Macaca fascicularis: one gene and its partner. The protein of the gene in region 2 binds, or shares a complex with, the protein of the main gene of each other region. Links are inferred from orthologs where the notes say so. Each region holds a gene or a part of one and is shown on either strand. Other genes may lie near its edges.

What was found. The genes of interacting proteins can lie anywhere in the genome.
Region 1: the proteins of STAT2 (region 2) and IRF9 are in contact, whole or in part, in a crystal structure (PDB 5OEN), measured with the Mus musculus proteins. The link is inferred for Macaca fascicularis from reciprocal best matches to the Homo sapiens genes STAT2 and IRF9. Residues at the interface, in NP_064347.1 of Mus musculus: Arg163, Gln164, Lys166, Asp167, Glu168, Asp170, Val171, Phe174, Arg175, Thr177, Val178, Phe179, Leu181, Lys182, Asp188, His190, Gln191, Gln193, Gln194, Leu197, Thr201, Lys204, Met208; in NP_032420.1 of Mus musculus: Leu206, Leu208, Tyr212, Leu233, Asp234, Arg236, Ser244, Glu245, Ser246, Ser247, Met248, Asp270, Arg271, Leu274, Val275, Ala276, Asn278, Ser279, Arg280, Phe283, Val284, Gln285, Leu287, Cys313, Glu315.

What each region holds. Positions count from the first base shown.
Region 1 is NC_088381.1:91,979,749-91,982,993, forward strand, and holds the end of IRF9 (interferon regulatory factor 9), read left to right. Parts: intron 1-374; coding exon 375-716; intron 717-817; coding exon 818-944; intron 945-1,605; coding exon 1,606-1,721; intron 1,722-1,880; coding exon 1,881-2,014; 3' UTR 2,015-2,628; downstream 2,629-3,245.
Region 2 is NC_088385.1:63,163,917-63,167,665, forward strand, and holds the start of STAT2 (signal transducer and activator of transcription 2), read right to left. Parts: upstream 2,484-3,749; 5' UTR 2,265-2,483; intron 1-2,264. Other genes in the region: APOF (apolipoprotein F), read right to left, coding at 3,431-3,749. UniProt on the Homo sapiens protein: Signal transducer and activator of transcription that mediates signaling by type I interferons (IFN-alpha and IFN-beta).

The sequences.
Region 1 (3,245 bases), on a different chromosome or scaffold from region 2:
CACATTACCATAGCCCAAGGCACTGGTTTCTAGGTGGCGAGAATTCCACATGCCTGGCCAGACTCCAAAAAGCTTGCTTCCCAAAAATATCACCCTATACACTCTCCTGGAAATCTACATTGAGACGTTGATTTCATTGGGCCAAACAGAGGCCCAATCTCAAGGGACCTTCTAGTAAACTACAAGCCCCTGGTCATTAAACCCTGAGGCCTCATGGTCAATCACATACTAGCTACTTGCCTAAGTGACAGGAAAACCTGAGAAGAAGTCCCCTGGCTGGTGCAGGGAGGGAAGGTGGAGCTATTCCCCTGGGGAGGGGCTGCTGCCAGCCTGCATGCTCCTCCAGCACCAAGTAGGGCTGTTCTATTCCCCAGACTACTCACTGCTGCTCACCTTCATCTACAACGGGCGTGTGGTGGGCGAGGCCCAGGTGCAAAGCCTGGATTGCCGCCTTGTGGCTGAGCCCTCAGGCTCTGAGAGCAGCATGGAGCAGGTGCTGTTCCCCAAGCCTGGCCCACTGGAGCCCACGCAGCGCCTGCTGAGCCAGCTTGAGAGGGGCATCCTGGTGGCCAGCAACCCCCGAGGCCTCTTCGTGCAGCGCCTTTGCCCCATCCCCATCTCCTGGAATGCACCCCAGGCTCCACCTGGGCCAGGCCCACATCTGCTGCCCAGCAACGAGTGTGTGGAGCTCTTCAGAACCGCCTGCTTCCGCAGAGGTGAGGCTGCTCTCTCTGGGCACCTGAGCTCCCACCCCCTACCTCTTAGTACCCCCTGGGCCCAACTTGGTGGGTCCTGCCACTTCCCTATCTGCCAGCAGATCCTCCATGTAGCCTATGCATGGCACTCCTGCACTTGTGTGGTGCACATCCTGTGTGGTCATATGCCCAGCCTGGCAGCTACCTGGCAGCTCTCCTCCAGCCAAGACAATGGAAGAGGTGGTTCAGGTAGAGCCCAGCACAAGAGTGTCGTATCTTAAAGAACACCATCACAGTGAAGCATGCAGTCACTATGTGAAGGTGCACAGAAGAATTGGCACAGAGATTTTGAGCTTCATGGCCTTCTCCTATATACACAGATTTGGGAGAGCTGGCACACATCACACACTCTGGCCCTGGCTGCACTGTCTCTACTACAGTCCAGGCATGCCTTAGGGTTGCGCTTCTCTCCCATCCAATTCCAGCTCCTACTCAATTCTAAACCTGACCTTAAGAGTGGGACCAGGTGTACACGGGTGCAGAGTGTGGGTGTTCCCAGCACCATGGGTACCCTAGCACTGGAAGGGTGTGAGCAAGCAGCAAAGGTCTGGGCACATCTGTGTTAGCAGCCAGGGCTGCTGCCCGGGAGGACTCTAAACTCTCCCAGCAGAGAGCTTTTTCAGCTGTGCAGTGATCTACTTCTAAGCACTTATTTGAGGCAGGGCCACCCTTTCCCTATTTGCACACGGGTGAGTAGCATTTAGTTCCAAGTACTTCTGACCTTGCAGCTCCTGCTGTGGCAGGACCCCCTCCTACCTCTCTCCATCATGGGTTTCTCACTATTGCCTCCCTGCCTGTGGCCCTCTCTTCTTTTTGAAATTCTTCCAACCCTTGACCCTTTCTCTTTCAGACTTGGCCAAGTACTTCCAGGGCCTAGGCCCCCCACCGAAGTTCCAAGTAACACTGAATTTCTGGGAAGAGAGCCGTGGCCCCAGCCATACTCCACAGAATCTTATCACAGTGAAGGTGAGCTCAGAGCAGGGGCAGAGTACCCATCTAATGAGAGCGGGGGCAGTGGTACTTCAGGAGGCAAAGGGGGTTTCCTAGTGGGGAAGGAGCTCCTGGGGGTGGTGTCTGTCCCTGATGCACTCACTAAGACACTCTTCTCCATCTCTTCCAATACAGATGGAGCAGGCCTTTGCCCGATACTTGCTGGAGGAGACTCCAGAGCAGCAGGCAGCCATTCTGTCCCTGGTGTAGAGCGTGGGGTACCCATCTTCCACCTCACCTCTTTGTTCTTCCTGTCTCCTTTGAAATAGACTCATTCTTCACACGATTGACCTGTCCTCTTTGTGATAAGTCTCAATAGTTGTCTGTGATAATTGTATCCTGAAAATCCTCGCACACACTGGCTGGTGGAGCACTCAAGGCTAATTTTTTTTCCTTTTTTTTTTTTTAATTTTGACATATACACCCTCTTTCATCTGTAAGGGACTGGGAAATTCCAAATGGTGTGAACCCAGGGGGCCTCTCCCTCTTCCCTGACCTCCCAACTCTAAAGACAAGCACTGCCGGGCGCGGTGGCTCACGCCTGTAATCCCAGCACTTTGGGAGGCCAAGACGGGCGGATCACGAGGTCAGGAGATCGAGACCATCCTGGCTAACATGGCGAAACCCCGTCTCTACTAAAAAATACAAAAAAATAGCCGGGCGAGGTGGTGGGCGTCTGTAGTCCCAGCTACTCAGGAGGCTGAGGCAGGAGAATGGCGTGAACCTGGGAGGCGGAGTTTGCAGTGAGCTGAGATCCGGCCACTGCACTCCAGCCTGGGCGACAGAGCGAGACTCCATCTCAAAAAAAAAAAAAAAAAAGACAAGCACTTTATATTTTCCTCTTAGATATTCACTAAGGATTTAAAATAAAATTTTATTGAAAGAGGAATCAGTATCTGATTTTCTGGGAGAAGAAGGTAGCAGTGGTCACAGATAGAGATGTAAACTTAAGAGTGGGGCACTGGGGTTCTCTTCCTGCTGACATCTCCAGCCTTTTTCCTCTCCTCTGCCCACAGGTTCTGGCTAATATGCTATCTGGGCCCTGTGGGTCCTGGGCCTGGCACTCTACAGAGGTACCCTCTGGGCAGACAAGATTAGGGAGTGGGTTGGGATAGGCCATCGAAAGGGGCATCAAGCCTTCAGCCAGGCACTATAGCCACCAACTTCACATGGTAAAGTCTGGGCTTCATAGTTCTTGCTAGAAGGCCTCAACATCGGGCCTGAGGTTAGACTGGAGGTCTAAATGAAGAGGAGACACTTGAAGGTGACCTGAAACTATGGTCTAGAGGCCCTGGGGCCTGAGAACAGAGGAGTCAGAGCGAAGAGTTGCTAAACCTGTACCTGTTGTTACTGGCACCTCTTCCTCCAGCACAAATTTCACCGTCACCCCAGCAGGGTACTCCCAAACTGGATTCCTTGCTCTATCTAAGCCCCATAAAAGACACTCTGGCTGGCTGGGTGCAGTGGCTCACGCCTATAATCCCAGCACTTTGGGAGGCC
Region 2 (3,749 bases):
CTTCCAAAATGCTGGGATTACAGGCATGAGCCACCATAACCAGCCTAATGGTAATTTTCAAACACACACTAAAGCAGAGTGACTAGTACAAGGATCACCATCCAGCTTTAACAAACTACTGTTTCCACTATCTTATTTCATCTATCTCTCTAATTCATTTATTTTGCATTTATGTGTTTGTTGTTTATATTTGTTTATGCTAAACAAATATAAGCATTTAAAGATCAGTGTTGATGTTAAGTATTTATTACAGCATGATCCCTGCTGACCCTGAAGCTTTTTTTTTTTTTTGAGATGGAGTCTTGCTCTGTCACCCAGGCTGGAGTGCAGTGACATGATCTCGGCTCACTGCAAACTCTGCCTCCCGAGTTGAAGGGATTCTCCTGGCTCAGCCTCCTGACTAGCTGGGACTACAGTCGCCCACCACCATGCCCTGCTAATTTTTGTATTTTTAGTAGAGATGGGGTTTCACCATGTCATCCAGGCTGGTCTGGAACTTCTGACCTCAGGTGATCTGCCCACCTTGGCCTCCCAAAGTGCGGGGATTAGAGGTGTGAGCCACCATGCCCGGCCACCTGAAGCTTTTTTAGGAGCTAAATCTTTTTGGAGGTTAGGTAAGTACACCCTATAAACTGCCCTCCATATAGGAAGGAGGAGCTCCATGCTAGAAGACATCTAAATGCTATGCAACGGGTTGCTCAGTCCCTAAGAATATGACACGTTTATGACCTGTGAATCTTGAATATAAGTTATCAACTTTGTGAGATCCTGAAACTTCACTTAAATTTTTTTTGTTTTTTTTGTTTTGGCAGGGCACAGTGGCTCATGCCTGTAATTCCAGCACTTTGGAAGAGGCGGGAGGATCACTTGAGGTCAGGAGTTCAAGACCAGCCTGGCCAATGTGAAATCCTATCTCTACTAAAAATACAAAAAAATTAGCCAGGCATGTTGGTGGGCACCTGTAATCCCAGCTACTCAAAAGGCTGAGGCAGGAGAATGGCCTGTACCCAGGAGGCAGGGGTTACAGTAAGTGGAGATCACATCCAGCCTGGGAGGCAGAGTGCAGTCTCTGAATCAAAACAACAACAATGAATTGGCTTTTGCCTGTCACCAAGCAGGCTGTGCCTTGCATCCTTCTCCCCACTGTTCCCTGCTCGCTGCCATCTGGTGTCTATTTAGGAAACTGAAACTTAAGCTTGTTGCAGCCTGAGCCTAACAAAACAGAATTCATGCACATTAGTGGTCTAAAAAGGTCACATGATTTTATTACAAAGTAAAAAGAAATGCTTGGGGTGGTATAGTCTTCTACTAACATGAATAACATCAGCTGCCCTTCTACCTCCAGCAGGAACAAGGGAAGGGAGGGATTGGGCAGGGGCTATTTTCATTTTAACCCTTTTAGTAGTGCTTGATTTTTAAAACTATGTGTCTGTATTGCTTTTATGATACAAAAAAATATAAGTTAAAAAAATGATTAGGTGGCCAGGCATGGTGGCTCATGCCTGTAATCCCAGCACTTTGTGAGGCCCACAAGACGGGAGGATGGCTTGAGCTCAGTCAGGAGTTTGAAACCGAGCCTGGGCAACATACTGAGATTCCATCTTTAAAATAATAATAATAATAATAATAATAATAATAATGAGGTCCCAATTCTTGAGGATTTAAGTGTCTGATATTAAAGGAGCAAGTCAGCAAAGATTCAAATATGAAAACAAAACAAAAAACCTGGTCTCCCCGAATGGATTGCAAACACTGAGGTTAAGAGCTAAAACAATTTTTTCTCATTATCTCTCACTCTTAAGCACATATTTTGCACTCAAGAAGCTTTTCTGAAATGAACTGAATTTTGTGTGTGACCTTAGGCAATGTTTCATCTTTCAGTAGCTTATACTTTTAAACAAAACAAATAAAGACGATAGATTTATCTATCTTTGTTTTTAGATTTATCTATCTTTGAACATCGTTTTTAGGTGAAGATAAAAAATAATGCAGAGCAGAGTAACGTCAGATACCGAACCAACAATGCCAGATTCCGGGTCTCGGAAGCTGCAGGGCAGTTTTCGGGGAGGGGCATTGGGGTTGGGGAGATAGGCTGGACAGGAGAAGATCGAGAACCGAGCAGGCGACAGACAGCTCCTCTTTCAACCTGGGGACAGAAGCTGCCCCCTCCAGGGCGTAACTCCTGGGGCCAGTCGCCCTTCCCTGGGAGGAACTCTCACTCTCACCCCCACCCCTACCTCAGCACACCCTCTCAGGGCCCGTACCTGATTAGGGTTGCAGTCTCCGCGCCCTCCACTGGCTCTGGTCGCGACTTCCCGTCCGTAGAAGGAGTTCGGGTACTAGAGCCTCAGGCCCCGCCTACAACTTCGGCCTACACCCTCGGACCCGCCCCCTCGTAGTTGGCAGCGGAAGTCCGGAGCGGCCCCATTCCCAGTCGCCACCCCGACACTGGCTGCCACTCAGTCAAGCCCTTCCCAGACTGCGAACTCACTGGCGCCGCCGCAACTACACCCCCCCGCGGGGCGGGACAAGCTGAGCCGAAACCACACCTGCAGCTCCAGCGATTGGTGGAGAAGTTCAAGTAGGCACTTTCTACGAGGGGAGGAGTCTAATTAGTGGACTGGCCCAAGACTGAAACAGCTGATTTTCGAGAACCCGCTCGTGAGCCACGGAACCGAAACTAGCTTGAGGAGCCTGTAGACGCCAAGGGCTCCATGGGAAGGGGTGGGACCGGAATTTCGACGCCTTGGGATAGGAAGAGGAGGGCTGAGGTAATGAAAACAGTATTTTTTTTTTTTTTTTTTTTGAGACGTGGTCTCGCTCTTATCACCCAGGCTGGAGTGCAGTGGCGCGACCTCGGCTCACTGCAGCCTCGACCACCCGGGCTCAGGTTATTCTCCCGCCTCAGCCTCCCAGGTAGCTGGGACTACAAGCGTGCATAACTCCGCCAGGATAATTTTTTGTGTTTATTGTAGAGACGGAGTTTCGCCATGTTGCCCAGGCTGGTCTTGAACTCCTGACCTCAGGTGATCCTCCTGCCTCGGCCTCCCACAGTGCTGGGATTACAGGCATGAGCCACTGCACCTGGCTAATAGCTATTTATTGAGAGTACTGTGATAAGCACTTTAGATTAATTGTGTCATTTAAAATTTACAGGGCAACTCATTGAAGTTAAAATCATTCTCTCCTTTAGAAATTTAAAAACTGATCTTAGTTCAAGAAAGAAGTTACCAGTCAGTGATCACGGAGGCTCTAACAAGTGGAGCCTAGATTCAAAACCAAACCCTCTGACTTCAACCCCCAAACATTTACGTTCCTACGTTTTACTGTACAGCCTTACTCCTGAATAAATCGGAGTTTAAAATTTTGAAGACATGTATACAGCTTGTCAGGATATTAGATTTATTAGTTCTGTGGTTACTACCTTCTTTTATATCCCAAGACTCCCAGCCCCAGGATCTAAGTCATAGCTCTTGATTATGGCCCACCCCCAGTAGGGAGCTGAACTTACTACTTCTGATATGAAAGAAGCCAGGGTAGTTGTTTCTTCCAAGTCACTCACATCTGAGATGGCCCTTAAACCCTCCTTGGTGGTCTCTGGCTGAGAGATGTTTGCGTCTTTCCGATCTTGGTAATACTGGATCAACTGCTGAACCCCAGACCTTAATGCAGGTTTAAGTGCAGCACTGATCGCTAGACCCATAGGTCCCCCTGACATCCCGGCCATGGTCATCAGAAGGTCATATCCC